Linked DNA regions of Astyanax mexicanus. The protein of the gene in region 1 interacts with the protein of each later gene in a biochemical or structural test. Links are inferred from orthologs where the notes say so. Each region holds a gene or a part of one and is shown on either strand. Other genes may lie near its edges.

What was found. The genes of interacting proteins can lie anywhere in the genome.
Region 2: the proteins of shank1 (region 1) and wwtr1 interact in a test that uses a peptide from one of them, tested with the Homo sapiens proteins (2 studies listed by IntAct, with this or other methods). The link is inferred for Astyanax mexicanus from reciprocal best matches to the Homo sapiens genes SHANK1 and WWTR1.

Annotation. Positions count from the first base shown.
Region 1 is NC_064426.1:18,967,968-18,975,993, forward strand, and holds the start of shank1 (SH3 and multiple ankyrin repeat domains protein 1), read right to left. Parts: upstream 3,214-8,026; 5' UTR 2,834-3,213; intron 1-2,833. UniProt on the Homo sapiens protein: Seems to be an adapter protein in the postsynaptic density (PSD) of excitatory synapses that interconnects receptors of the postsynaptic membrane including NMDA-type and metabotropic glutamate receptors via complexes with GKAP/PSD-95 and Homer, respectively, and the actin-based cytoskeleton.
Region 2 is NC_064423.1:915,399-923,429, reverse strand, and holds the start of wwtr1 (WW domain-containing transcription regulator protein 1), read left to right. Parts: upstream 1-4,617; 5' UTR 4,618-4,884; coding exon 4,885-5,297; intron 5,298-8,031. UniProt on the Homo sapiens protein: Transcriptional coactivator which acts as a downstream regulatory target in the Hippo signaling pathway that plays a pivotal role in organ size control and tumor suppression by restricting proliferation and promoting apoptosis.

The sequences.
Region 1 (8,026 bases):
TACCAGGAGACTTCAATGCTACGTAATTGATTCCCCAACCAATCACCAGCTTCCATCTGGCTAAAAAAAATATGACTTACACATTCTTTCTGCTGCTTTTAGATGCAAAATTTCATTTTCCCTCCTTTCTTTATCCACCCAATGCCTCGTGGATGATCCGCCTAAGAGGTAAGCTCCACCTTCTATCTGCCATCCATACAGAGCAGGATCTTAATTCTACAAGACGTGAGCTGACAACCTAACTTTTTAATTATTATATTCAATATCTAATTTTGCATTCTATCTCAGGACTCATTCTAGAACTGATTGTTCACTTGCTGCCTAATATATGAACCATTGGCACTGCCATATATTGTCAATGGTCAACTGCTTGCTACTAAAACAGCTCAGTGTGTACTGTGGTATCTGGCACCAAGACATTACAATCCTAGAAGTTGTAAAGTGGATCAACTACAGATCTGATGTGCATCCAGCACCTCCTGCAGGTAAGTGGTGCCTGTGTAACTCATCATCCAGATCCAATTCAGACATATGTGTGTCTGGACAGTAGGGCCTATCATGGGCAATCTGACTGGTCTGCACTGTGTGTTCTTATGTATTCATTCTGTAATCTTCAAAAATCTGCTCTTCTGTTGGTTCCACTTAGATGGAATAGCTTTCATTGCCCTCGTTCAGGTGGTAGATGCTGTGCTTTGCCATCAAATGTGGCATTAGCTACCTGTAGGTCCCATGTATGGAACTTTAGGATTGTTGGAGACCTCTCTTAAAATTGTTTTTCTTGATGTGATTTTATTTCTTCTGACTAAAATCACATGTGTTGGCAAAATTAACAAATTGTATTTAAACCCTTGTTGAGGCCAGACCAAGTACATTGCACCTGCTCATTTTGACTCTTTAGTTGAACGAGTGTTGAGTGTTGGTCACACTATTTGCATATTGGGCATGTCCTCATCTCTCACTCACCAATCATTCTCCACAGGTTGCCATCTTTTCTCCATAAAAGTTGTCAGCAGTAGGAAGCATGAAGTGCTAAAACATTTTCCGGTAAAACGCTGCACTGACTTGATGGACTTGATAGAACACAGTGGACCAACACCAGCAGATGACATGCCTCTCCAAACCATCACTGATCATCAGTAAATTTTACATTTCATTCGTAAATCAAGGAAGCAGAGTCTGGAGGAAGAGTGGAGAGACACACAGTCCAAACTGCTTGAGGTCTAGTGTGAAGTTTCCACAATCAGTGATGGTTTGGAGAGACATGTCATCTGCTGGTGTTGGTCCAATTTTTTTTACAAGACTTTTTAATCTATCTACTCAGTTTCCCAATCTAGCATCCTATAAATACACAATACTTGCTTACATGATCATGGCAAGTCCTCAAAACCCTCCATCTCCTCCCATTAACTCTTAGTTATCTCTCCTTCCTGACTCAACTCCACTTATTAGAGGTGGGGACTGGCTTCCTACAACAAGCATAAGCTGCCTGAATTCCAGACCAAAGTACTGCATTCTCTTCCCTCTCGTCATTCTCCTCCCAATTAATAGGACATGCAAATGTAATTTAGCCCCGCCCTTTCATGCTGAAGTAATAATGCAAGACACAATTCAAAACAATTAGCCATGCATCACACTATACAAAAAAGTACAAAACTATGTGGAAACCGGCTCATTGTTCATTGTCTTTTTTTTTCTTTCTAAAATCATGGGTATTAATCGAGTAATTGAGTAGTAATTGAGTCTATTACTGTACATAGAAGACTTTTGCCTTTTTTACTAAATTTTGAGGAATTGCTGTTTGAGGATCTGATTGCTTTCAGCGATGTTCAGAGCGATGTTCAGAGCCTCATCTCTAACCACAGCTTATCCCCCCTCAACCCAACTCATCCCAACAGTACTGTATTGGGCGAAGCACCATCATTATCTCAAGGAAGCTAGGCAGCTTTTTCTACACCCCTTTAGCCTACACCTGGCATTAGGCATGGCGCTAACGGGTTCATGTGTATCTCCTCCACACCTGGGTAACTTTCATTAGTTGGAGTAGCTGAATGCATTTGTTAGAAGGCGTGTCCAGAAATATGTGGACGCACTGTATAGTGTAGAAGTTGAAGCTGTTGGAGTGGATCAGAGTGTGTGTGAGGCAGACTGGTGGAATGTATTTGAGCATGTGTGTGTGTGTGTGTGTGTGTGAGGGCTGCCGTGCTAATAGATCAGTCAGTGGGTGTTGCTGGGTGAGTGAGTCTACACGCTTGCCAGTGTGTGGTTGGGTGGGAGTGCGTTCGCAAGAGTGACAGAAGAGACTGCATCTCTCTCTCTCTCTTTCTCTCTCTCCTTCTTCCTGCTTTCCTGTGTGTGTATGTGTATGTGTAAGCTTGTGTGTGTGTGTGTACCACCATTTTACACTCACACATACAGAGACCAGATACACACACCCATTGCTTGTGCATCTTTCCACCTAGTTAATTGAAGATCTGTGAGCATCCCTTCTTCTTTGGGTTCAAAGGTAAACATCTGTACATCTGTACAGTAAAACACTCTCCACATGTGTGTTCAGCTCACCTGCTGCTCTGCAGAGGCAAAACACACACACACACACACACCAAGAGAAACAGGGGAAGTACTCAAAGACCAATCAGGTTTCTGCAGCCACTTTCAAGAGCCTCGACCGGTTTCCTCCCTTTCAATATCTTGATGCTTTCAATGCTTGAGTCCACACACTTCCAGCCACATTTTCGTGTGTGTGTACATCTCTCTCTCTCTCTCTCTCTCTCTCTCTCTCTCTCACACACACACACATTCACACACTCGCTGCAATACAGCCAAGCTTACTTACTGTCTTGCTGCAGCAGAGAATCGTCTATGTTCACAAATCCCTCCTTTCCGAGAGACAGCACAAGGCGAAGGACAGAAAAAAAAAATCCGGCAGCAGCAGCAGGAAAAAAAAGGAAGAAAAATAAAAAAGGTAGAGAGACACTAAAAGAGAGAGTGGAGAGAGACTGGAGAACAGATAAAACAAAAAAAAGAAGGGAAGGGAGGAAAAAGGAAATGGATGAAAGGAAGTCGCCGCGGCAACAATGGGAGCTCTGCAAATTACATCTTAGTGACAGTCCAGAGAGCGAGGGATGGATATTATCCTCCACTGGCGGTCAGCGATCCAGTGGCCGTGGCTATAGTAACACTTCTATCTCTCTCTCTCTCTCTCGCACGCTCGCTCTCTCTCTCCTCCCCTCCTTCCCTCCCTCTCTCTCTCTCTCAATCGTTCAAACAGCCCTGATCTCTCAGTCTCTCTAAGCTGGTTGGCTGCTTCGGCTCTCCTCTCATCCGTTCGCTCCCTCTATCGCTCGCTCGCTCGCTCACTCTCCCGCCTGCCCGCCCCTCCTCTTCTTCCTCCTCCTCCTCCTCCTCCTCCAGTCCTCTCTCTCTTTCTCTCCCTGCCTCCCTCTCTTCCTCCCTTGCACTCTTTCTCTATCTTTCTCTGTATCCACTCTGCCAGAGCTTCAATGCAAGGCAAAGCTCCCTCTCTTTCTCTCTCTCTTTTCTCGCTCGCTTCTTCTCTCTGTCTTTGATGTTTTATGGAGTTGAGACTCCAGGCTGTGGAGGGGAAATGTTGTCTCTCACAGAGCTGAGAGAAAGAGAGAGAGAGAGAGAAAGAAAGAGATAGAGAGAGAGTGCAGCAGGCTGGATGCGCTCCACGCCCAGGCTGAGCGAGAAGGCAGAATAAATGCTTTTACAATTCATTCCAGAGAACACTGATAGAAACAGACAGAAATAAAGAGAAATAAAGAGAAACATACCCTCACACACATACTCACACTCACACACCTACACACTGTGGGAATCTGCAGATGAAGCCTCATTATGAATTCAAGTCTAATTAATATGGAGGGTTCAAAAAAAGAGAGAAAGAGAGAGAGAGGGGATTTAATGTGAGAAAAGAGGGAGAAAGAGTTAAAGAAGAAGGAGAGATAGAGAGAGAGTTTATTTAATAGGATCCCTTTATCCACTCTTTCACTCATTTGCTTTCTTCACTGCTCAGACTTGATTCTCAACCCATTTTCTCTCTCTTTTCTCTTATTAAATCTTCTCTCCTTGTCTTCTCTTTCTCTTTAACTCTCTTTAACCCTGCCTCTATTGTGCTCTCTCGTCCACCTTTTTTCTTTCTTCCTCTGATCACTTCATCCACTATCTTACTCCTTAGCTTTTTTCACTGCTCAGACTTGTTCCTCAACCCATTTTCTCTCTGTTTTCTCCTATTAAATAAACAAATGAGTGAAAGAGTGGATAAAGGGATCAGAGAAAGTGTGAGATAAGAAGGAAGGGAGAGCAGAATAGAGGCACTGGAAAAGAGTTAAAGAGAAAGAGAAGACACTTAGGAGAGAGAAATGGTTTAGTATGAGAAAAGAGAGCGAAAGAGTTAAAGAGGGAAAAGAGAAAGAGAAGACAAGGAGAGAGAAAAAGAGAAAGAGATGTATTTTGAAAAAAAGAGAGAAAATGGGTTAAGAAAACAAGTCTGAGCAGTGAAGAAAGCAAAGGAGTGAGAGAGTGGAAGAAGGGATCAGAGGTGAAAAGAGTGAAAAAAGGTGGAAGGGAGAGCAGAATAGAGGCAGAAAAGAGTTAAAGAAAAAGAGAAGACAAGGAGGAGAGAGTATTTAATATGAGAAAAGAAAGAAAAATAGGTTAAGAGAAACAAGTCTGAGTAGAGAAGAAAGCAAAGGAGTGGATGAAGTGATTACAGTAGAAAAAGAGTAAGAAAAGCAGGAAGGAAGAGCAGAATGAAGGCAGAGGAAAAGAGTTAAAGACAAGGAGAAGACTGTACCAGTAACAAAAGAACATTAGGACAGAAAACAGAGAGAAAGAAAGAGAGGAGATGGAGGATGAAAAAAACGAGAGGGAACATTGTGTGGGACACAGAATGATGGACAGAAAGTAGAAAGAGGAGAGAAAAAAAGGATAAGAGACATGGATTGAAGAGAGAGCGAGTGAGGAAGAGAAAGAAACAGGGAGAACAGCAGAGGAATCACCAGCAGAAGAGACAGAAAGATGAAAGAGAATAAAAAAGAGGGAAAGATGAGAAAGGATTGTGATAGTGTGACAGAAAGAAAGAAAACAGAAAGATAGAGGACAAAAAACACAAGTGAGAAAGGAGGAGAAGAGAAGTGAGAGTATAGAGAGAGAATAGAGAGAGTGCTCCAGGTTAAAGCCAGTAAAAATGCTTTAACAACTCATTTCAGAAAAACACTGATAGAAAGAGAGAGAGATAGAGAGAAACACACATAGTGTGGGAATCTGCAGATAAAGCTTCATTATGAAGTATGTAATCTATATACAGGGTTCAGAGAGAGAGAGAGAGAGAGAGAGAATTTAATACGAGAAAAGAGAGAGAGGATTTAATAGGAGAAAAGAGAAGAAAAGTGGGTAAGGAGAGACAAGTCTGAGCAGTAAAGACGGCAAAGAAAAGAGAGAGCAAAGAAAGGGATCAGAGGAAGAGTGAGAAAAGGAGGAAGGGAGAGCAGAATAGAGGCAGGTGAAAAGTATTAATGAAAAGAATGATACGGAGAAAATTAAACAGGATTTAATAAGAGAAAAGAGAGAGAAAGTGGGTAAGGAGAGACGATACTGAGCAGGGTGAGAGAGTGGAGAAAGAGATCAGAGAGTAAGAAATAAATAGAGGAAGAGAGAGCAAAATGGATGCAGGGGAAAAGAGTTAAAAAATAAATAGAAGACAAGAAGAGAGAGAGAGATGGAGGAGGAAACTAGAAGAGAGAATATTGAGTTGGGCATAGAATGAGAGAATAGATGTGGAATGAAGAGACATTGAGTGAGAAAAAGAAAGAAACAAAAAGACCGTTTGGTTTAGAAATAGTAACATCTAACCTACAGCTGATAGTGAGTACAGTTGATAACATTATTCAGGTATCTTTTTCCTCCATCACGGATATTTATATCATGTGCTGCATTTGCTACCAGATTTGTGGATCACCCCACCCATCATTTACACTTTTTTTTATTAGTGCTATCTAAGAGAAGGTACAAGAGCATCTGAGCCATCACTGACAGGCATTGTAACAGCTTCTGCCCACAGACCATCACACTTCTCAACAGACCAGGCCACATCTAGCCTGGATACAAGATGAGATATGATTGGGCATGGAGGCATTCAGGTTCTGAGATGTTGCAGCTGGGCTTGTAGATGCTGCACAAAGCTCTCGTTGCATCATCAGCTGTGCCAGTGTGTCCCTGTGTGCACAACCCAAAAGAAGCCTCTGAGAGCCTTTTTGTAGGGTAGTAAGTGAAAGATTTTAGATCCTCTCATGGCGAGACCCAGTGCCTAATCAGACCACACCTGCGTTTTTTTGTTTTTATATCAGTGAGAGTATGTTATAATCAGACTGCATGTATTTATGTCTTAACACATTACATAACTCCACACCTTATCCTCACCACACACATTCAGTAAAGAGTGCTGTGTCTGCGCTGCACTGTCCCATCTGTTTACTGTGCCCACTGTCTGCTGTATTTATAGTATTTATATTTTTATTGTATTGTTCTAGCATATGTTTGAATGTTTGATTTCATGTCGTTTGTAACGATTTTTTTGTTCTTGTTGCACCACGATCCTGATGAAATGGAATTTCACTCCACTTTGTTCCTGTACAGAGTGAGATAAAGAACTAAGATAGATATACTAAGAGAGAGAGAGAGAGAGAGAGAGAGAGAGAGAGAGAGCTGAGAGAAAGACAATGAGAGGAAAGAGAGAAAGGGGGAGTGGAGTGAGAGAGAGAAGGGGAGCTGTAAGATGGAGAGCTTGGAGATAAAGAATGAAAATACAGAGACAGCATTAAAGAGAAAGAGCAGTAAACGAGAGCTGAAAGATAAAGGATGAGACAGCAAGAAAGAGAGATGAATGAGAGAGCAGGACAGTTGTGAGATGAGAAATTAGAGCAGAAGAGAAAGAGAAAGATCGGTATAAAGAATTGGGAGACGAAGGATGAGAAAGAGACAGCAAGAAACAGATAGATAAGGAATGAGAGAGCAAGAGAGCTGGGAGATGAGAAATGAAAGCAGGAGAGAAAGAGAAAGAGAGGTGAAGGATGAGAGAAGGACAGCAAGAAAGAGAGAGAAAGAGAGCTGGGAGAAGAGAAATGAGCGCGAGAGAGAGAACGTGAAATGAAAAATGAGAGAGCAAGAGAGCTGGGAAATGAGAAATGAGAGAGGAAGAGCAGTAAAAACAGCTAAGAGATGAAGGAAGACTGAGCAGTAAAAGATATGAGAAATGACAGAGAGAGCAGTAAATGAGAGCTGATAAATGAAGGATGAGAGAGAGAGCTATAGGGCGAGCAGTAAAAAAAAAAGCTGGGACAGGAAGTAAGAGAGAGCGAGACAGCTGAAGGATGAGAAAAAGAGAGCTAGAAAATGAGATGTAAGAGATGAAACGAGAGCTGAGAGATGAAGTATGAGAGAAGTGAAAGAGAAGTAAAAAAGAGCTGATAGAGACAGGATGAGAGAAAGAGAAAAGGAGCAGAAAAGAAGAATTGAGAGATGAAAGATGAGAAACAGAGAAACACAAAGAGCAGTAAACAAGAGCTGAGAGAAAACAGTAAATAAAAGTTGGTAGATGAAGAATGAGAGAGAGAGCTATAGAGAAAGCAGCAAACGAGAGCTGGGAGATGAAAAATGAGAGAAAGAGAGAGAGAGAGAGAGACAGAGAGAGCTGAAGGATGAGAGAGAGAGCTATAGAGAGAGCAGTAAATGAGAGCTGGAAGACAAAGGATGAAAGAGAGACAGCTAAAGAATAAGAGAGAGAGAGCTAAAGAGGGCAGTAAACAAGAGGTGAGAGACGAAGGATGAGAGAGAGAGCTATAGAGAGAGCAGAAAATGAAAGCTGGGAGATGAAGGATGAGAGAGAGAAACAGCTGAAGGATGAGAGAGAGCTATAGAGAGAGCAGTAAACGAGAGCTGGGAGATGAAGGATGACAATGAGTGAGAGAACTGAAGTATGAGAGCGAGAGAACTGAAGGATGAGAGA
Region 2 (8,031 bases), on another chromosome or scaffold:
CAGAACCTACTAATCTAACCAGCACAGCTCCATCCATCTGTTATCAACCCCCAGAACCTACTAATCTAACCAGCACAGCTCCATCCATCTGTTATCAACCCCCAGAACCTACTAATCTAACCAGCACAGCTCCATCCATCTGTTATCAACCCCCAGCACCTACTAATCTAACCAGCACAGTACCATCTATCTGTTATTAAACCCCAGAATCTACTAATCTAACCAGCACAGCACCATCCATCTGTTATCAAACCCCAGAATCTACTAATCTAACCAGCACAGCTCCATCCATCTGTTATCAAACCCCACAACCTACTAATCTAACCAGCACAGCTCCATCCATCTGTTATTAAACCCCAGAATCTACTAATCTAACCAGCACAGCACCATCCATCTGTTATTAAACCCCAGAATCTACTAATCTAACCAGCACAGCACCATCCATCTGTTATTAAACCCCACAACCTACTAATCTAACCAGCACAGCTCCATCCATCTGTTATTAAACCCCAGAATCTACTAATCTAACCAGCACAGCTCCATCCATCTGTTATTAAACCCCACAACCTACTAATCTAACCAGCACAGCTCCATCCATCTGTTATTAAACCTCAGAACCTACTCATCTAACCAGCACAGCACCATCCATCTGTTATCAAACCCCAGAACCTACTAATCTAACCAGCATAGCTCCATCCATCTTTTATCAAACCCCAGAAACTACTAATCTAACCAGCACATCTCCATCCATTTGTTATCAAACCCCAGAACCTACTAATCTAATCAGCATAGCTCCATCCATTTGTTATCAAACCCCAGAACCTACTAATCTAACCAGCACATCTCCATCCATTTGTTATCAAACCCCAGAACCTACTAATCTAACCAGCACAGCTCCATCCATCTGTTATCAAACCCCAGAACCTACTAATCTAACCAGCACAGCACCATCCATCTGTTATCAAACCCCAGAACCTACTAATCTAACCAGCACAGAACAATCCATCTGTTATTAAACCCCAGAACCTACTAATATAACCAGCACAGCTCCATCCATCTGTTATTAAACCCCACAACCTACTAATCTAACCAGCACAGCACCATCCATCTGTTATTAAACCCCACAACCTACTAATCTAACCAGCACAGCACCATCCATCTGTTATTAAACCCCACAACCTATTAATCTAACCAGCACAGCTCCATCCATCTGTTATTAAACCCCAGAATCTACTAATCTAACCAGCACAGCACCATCCATCTGTTATCAAACCCCAGAATCTACTAATCTAACCAGCACAGCTCCATCCATCTGTTATCAAACCCCACAACCTACTAATCTAACCAGCACAGCACCATCCATCTGTTATTAAACCCCACAACCTACTAATCTAACCAGCACAGCTCCATCCATCTGTTATTAAACCCCAGAACCTACTAATCTAACCAGCACAGAACAATCCATCTGTTATCAAACCCCAGAACCTATTAATCTAACCAGCACAGCACCATCCATCTGTTATTAAACCCCACAACCTACTAATCTAACCAGTACAGCACCATCCATCTGTTATCAAACCCCACAACCTACTAATCTAACCAGCACAGCTCCATCCATCTGTTATCAAACCCCAGAACCTACTAATCTAACCAGCACAGCTCCATCCATCTGTTATCAAACCCCAGAACCTACTAATCTAACCAGCACAGCTCCATCCATCTGTTATCAACCCCCAGAACCTACTAATCTAACCAGCACAGCTCCATCCATCTGTTATCAACCCCCAGAACCTACTAATCTAACCAGCACAGCTCCATCCATCTGTTATCAACCCCCAGAACCTACTAATCTAACCAGCACAGCTCCATCCATCTGTTATCAACCCCCAGAACCTACTAATCTAACCAGCACAGCTCCATCCATCTGTTATCAACCCCCAGCACCTACTAATCTAACCAGCACAGTACCATCTATCTGTTATTAAACCCCAGAATCTACTAATCTAACCAGCACAGCACCATCCATCTGTTATCAAACCCCAGAATCTACTAATCTAACCAGCACAGCTCCATCCATCTGTTATCAAACCCCACAACCTACTAATCTAACCAGCACAGCTCCATCCATCTGTTATTAAACCCCAGAATCTACTAATCTAACCAGCACAGCACCATCCATCTGTTATTAAACCCCAGAATCTACTAATCTAACCAGCACAGCACCATCCATCTGTTATTAAACCCCACAACCTACTAATCTAACCAGCACAGCTCCATCCATCTGTTATTAAACCCCAGAATCTACTAATCTAACCAGCACAGCTCCATCCATCTGTTATTAAACCCCACAACCTACTAATCTAACCAGCACAGCTCCATCCATCTGTTATTAAACCTCAGAACCTACTCATCTAACCAGCACAGCACCATCCATCTGTTATCAAACCCCAGAACCTACTAATCTAACCAGCATAGCTCCATCCATCTTTTATCAAACCCCAGAAACTACTAATCTAACCAGCACATCTCCATCCATTTGTTATCAAACCCCAGAACCTACTAATCTAATCAGCATAGCTCCATCCATTTGTTATCAAACCCCAGAACCTACTAATCTAACCAGCACATCTCCATCCATTTGTTATCAAACCCCAGAACCTACTAATCTAACCAGCACAGCTCCATCCATCTGTTATCAAACCCCAGAACCTACTAATCTAACCAGCACAGCACCATCCATCTGTTATCAAACCCCAGAACCTACTAATCTAACCAGCACAGAACAATCCATCTGTTATTAAACCCCAGAACCTACTAATATAACCAGCACAGCTCCATCCATCTGTTATTAAACCCCACAACCTACTAATCTAACCAGCAGAGCACCATCCATCTGTTATTAAACCCCACAACCTACTAATCTAACCAGCACAGCACCATCCATCTGTTATTAAACCCCACAACCTATTAATCTAACCAGCACAGCTCCATCCATCTGTTATTAAACCCCAGAATCTACTAATCTAACCAGCACAGCACCATCCATCTGTTATCAAACCCCAGAATCTACTAATCTAACCAGCACAGCTCCATCCATCTGTTATCAAACCCCACAACCTACTAATCTAACCAGCACAGCACCATCCATCTGTTATTAAACCCCACAACCTACTAATCTAACCAGCACAGCTCCATCCATCTGTTATTAAACCCCAGAACCTACTAATCTAACCAGCACAGAACAATCCATCTGTTATCAAACCCCAGAACCTACTAATCTAACCAGCACAGTACCATCTATCTGTTATTAAACCCCACAACCTACTAATGCACTGTTTGTCTATACAGATCTACTATAAATGTCACTAAAATGTCCTAACAACAACTTATTTTTTTTTGCTCCTTTGTTGAATTAGTGTTATTATTTAGTATTCAATGTTTGATTTATTTTGAATAATAATATTTAATAATAATTAATGAATAACATTTTATATAAATAAATAGTTTTAATTAAACATTTCATTATAAACAATACTATTATTTTTATTTAGGACAGAAAAAATAAGTTTCGTACTGTTTAATTAAAAATACAATTGATTACTACTCATTTTATTAATTTTGTATAGTTTTATTAACGAATTAATTAATTACCATTGTTAATTTTACATCCAGTGGGGTATAAAATAAAGGTCTTTGCGAAAATTTGAATTTTATTATAAGAAAATTGGTCTTATATGTGCTTATTTTCTGAAACAGTAGATCAATATTCTACACTTTTATACACAGTCACATAATCTACCACCTGACTGAAATTAAGGAGGAACAGAAGATCTGAGAACATCATTTCTGAGCACAAGGTGGCAGAATAACATCTTCAGACAGAGAGAAGCGGATTTCTGCTCTTCTGTTCAGGCTGGTACATCACCGAATCCTTTAGGACACGTGAGGACGCAATAGAGGGCAGCAAATAAGGCATGTTTTCCGATATGTTTTTAAAACCCTCGTTGCCCTCTAGTTCTACTAGTGCTAAAAACTGATTATTACTTTTATGTAAAAAACTAGGTGAAACTTCGGCAAGTAAAAGGGATCCTCTGCACTGACTGCAAGTCATGTCATACATTGTTCTGTTGTCAATATATATATAATATACTTATATAACAATATAATATACTTTTTCGTTTATGTTTCAAATGCATTCATCTTCTTTTTACTATACCTTTTTATTTACCAATGTTAATCTTTATAATACTTAAAACATATCTTTTCAGTGTTTTTTGTGTCGTACTGGTTGTAATGGTTGTATTTTTGTTTTGAGTACATTTATATTAGCTGTAGATAATAAATATTTAGTCTAAATTGTTCAGATTTTCTTCACTAGACACTGGTGTAGGTTTGGCAGTTGGCTTGGGGCTATTCAGACTTTTTTATTACACGCTTAGAAAGTTTATACAATATACTTACACTAACACTCTTCAGTCTAGACTTCATTAATCCTTCTGTTACTAAATAGATTTGGAGCGACTTAAAGCGCGTGGTTAATATTCCGGGCGTGGCCTGATTAATATTCATGAGCGCGAGCTGACAGGCGCGCGCGCGCGGGGGGAGGAAAAAGTTCGAGTTTCCAAACTTTCCACCGAGCGGATTCTCCAGCAGCAGCAGCAGCAGCGGGACAGCGGGGCAGGAGGACCGGGCCGGATAACCTTCAAACTCTCATTTAAAACTGTTTTATTGTGTTTTTGTTTTGAGTTAAAACTTTTTTACACTAAAGACAGAAAATCACAGCAGCGCTTAGCCGCTGGGGAGAGCGCGGGTCGTGTTTTTGAGGAGAGAGCTCCAGCACTTCTTGGTTCCCCCCGTCCCAACTTTTCTGTTCCGCCGAGCGAAATGAGCAACAACCCGGTGCAGCCCCTGCCGGGCCAGCAGGTCATCCATGTGGCGAAGGACCCGGACACGGACCTGGAGGCGCTGTTTAACGCGGTCATGAACCCGAGGCCGAGCTCCTGGAGGAAGAAACACATGCCCGAGTCCTTCTTCAGGGAGCCGGACTCGGGCTCCCACTCCCGACAGTCCAGCACGGACTCGGGCAGCGGGCCGGCGCGGCTGCCGGTGCAGCACGTCCGCTCGCACTCCTCCCCGGCCAGCCTGCAGCTCGGCCCGGGCACGGGGACCGGAGCGGTCCCGCCCTCTGCGCACCACGTCCACATCCGCCACCAGTCCTTCGATGTGACCGAGGAGCTGCCCCTGCCCCCCGGCTGGGAGATGGCCTTCACTTCCAACGGCCAGAAATACTTTCTCAAGTAAGTACAGCTTAACTGATAGGCAAAGAACGTTAAATAGACGTTAAATCTTTGTTTGCATTACAGCTTGATGAGTTGATCATGGATAACTACATTTAAACAAACTTTATTTAACTTTCATCAATAGGTTTATTCAACATCATCAATAGGTTAGCTAGTTTTTCTACACTCACACTAAGCTACTATTAATAATATAATTGTTGCTACTTAAATGCACCTTTCTACACTTCAGCAGTAAAAATAATAGAAAAGTATTTTATCTCAAGTAATTTCAGACTTAAACACAAAGAACGTTTAGTAAAAACGTTCGCATCTCAACTTCTAGTGCTGATGATGGAAAAACAACATTAAAACAACCTTTTGTTTACGTTTGCACCATAGGCTTCAACAACAGGTTGGGTAGTGTTGGAATTCTGACGTTGAGGGAACGTTCATTTTAACAGCTAAAGTTTTGTAGGGTTTGGGCTGAGCTCTTCTACACTCACAATTAGCCCAGTGTTAAATGCATTTAGGCAAAATGTCCCTTTCTGCTCTGCAGTGTAGATTTAAGTAAAGTTTAACACGAACAACAGATTTAGAATCATAACGTTGAATTAGGGCTGGGTGATATTGTAAAAAAAAAAGTTCTTAGATAATTTAGTTTTTTTGTTTGTAAACAGGCAGCACCATGTAAGGTGACACAAAAGAAAGCTATTGTTTCCTTTAGATTCGTAAAAAAATCACTGCCACATTTAAGATAGAAGCAAGTCTATCTGAAATAAAATTGAAATATGAACGTTGATTCAGCATACTTTTGCTATCTGGCTACTGTTGTGTGATTGGAAACTTGAGCCTTAGCAACAGCTTAATGAGTTCTAGCAGCTTAGGGGGGGAGAGATTTGGCAACCTGTGGGGCCTAAAAACAAAACCTCAGGAGAACTGTACAGTGATTTACAGTGATTTACTTCATAACTAAAATGTAATTTGACCATCCTTGCTGCTGCCACATGTAGAAGACCTGTTCCATTTAGGTCTGCCTCACTTTTGTGGTTAATAGGGTTACAACTAATGATTATTTTAGTGGTTGAATAATCAGTCAATTATTTTTCAGATTACTCAAATAGTAAACGATTATTTCTGCTGCCCCATTCATCTCTGCTTCCTGTGGGTACGGCTCCTGTTCCTTGCTTTCTCTATCACTTCAAAACAATAGAAACCGCTGAATGTGGGATTTAGATGCTCTTTAAATGTTCAGATGATGTTTAAAGATGAAAAGTTTTGATGTTTACTCACTATGTATGTAATCTGTTGTGTTAAGTCACTTTTGGTGACTAAACTAAGTGTGAACCAAGTGAGTGAGCAGCACTTAACCTCCCCGTGTTTTTGTGTTCCTGTCCCCAGTATTTTGTATAGTGCATTTGTTACAAATTAGTTGAGATTTGAAATGTGAAATTCTTATAATCAACATTGTTGATTTTGTCATCTAACCATTGCTGGCAACTGAAAAGCTCAGAAGTGCTGTACTGTGATTTACTTTGCATTGTAATTTGCCACACATAGTCAGCTGTTCCACATTTAGGTTTCACTAGTGTTGTTAACACAGTTGCCCCAAATCTCCCCTTCTTTCTCCAGGGGAGAATGATGGGTGATGTTTAGGATTGAAACAGTAGTAATAAATAATATACACTCATGTCAGCTATAAGTTTGATTGAAGATCTGTGGTGTGCCCACGCAACAACCTAAGGACCTCAAATTCCGATTATTTCCGATGACGTGATTTCCGATTTCCAGTTCTCATGAGACTGGAGACTGTTTTTTCATGAAACAGTAAACTATTAAATCTGGTAGAAGTTTCACTCAAAGCCTCTATCACTGCAGTAAGGCAGCTGGTGGGTTCAGTTTGGTGAGTTTCTAAGTTGAATGAAACTACCTTAACGTTCTTTTGTCCTTTGGTGTTGTTGTAGTTTCTTGCTGATTTCTGGTCAGGTAGGCATGTCAGATAGAATCAGATCAAATAGATTTATATAGCATTTATTTGTGTTTACAACTAACACTGTAACAAAGCGGCTTTAAAAGTATACAGTATTAGGACAAAAGATCAATACTGTGCATTATCAGAGGTGAAAAAGTACTGAAGAATTGTAATTAAGTAAAAGTACATTTACTTTGCTAAACTTCTACTCAAGTAAAAGTAAAAAGGTACTCAATTTAAAAAGGTACTTTGAGTAAAAGTTACATAGTTACTTTTAAGTATGTGATGTAAAAAAGTACAACAAATAATAAATTAAATCGGTTTTAATGAACTATTAATTCCACATAATAATTTGGACCTTTCAGGCAGTATTTGTTCAGACCACCCCATAAAACATTTTCAAGAACAAGTGGTATAGGTTTCTATGATCCAATTTTTTAACTGTTAAAAGGTTATGGTCATATAGGAGACTATAAACTGTATTTTTATAGTTTTATAGTTTTACAGTTCATTATTATTATTATTATTTTTCTTACTTAGCTTTATCTGCTATTTACATGTTTTTTTGTTCACAAATTGTTTATTGTTCCCAATAAAAATTTAAGGAATCATCATTAAAAACAGGAAATCATACAAAAAAAATGTTGATCTGCGCCATTTTTTTTCATTCAGACAATTGTTTTTTTACTCAGTAACGGGGAGTTTTTTTCAATGTAGCAAAGTAAATAACTTGTGTCAAAATGTACTTGAGTAAAAGTAAAATTACCTATTTTATAAACTACT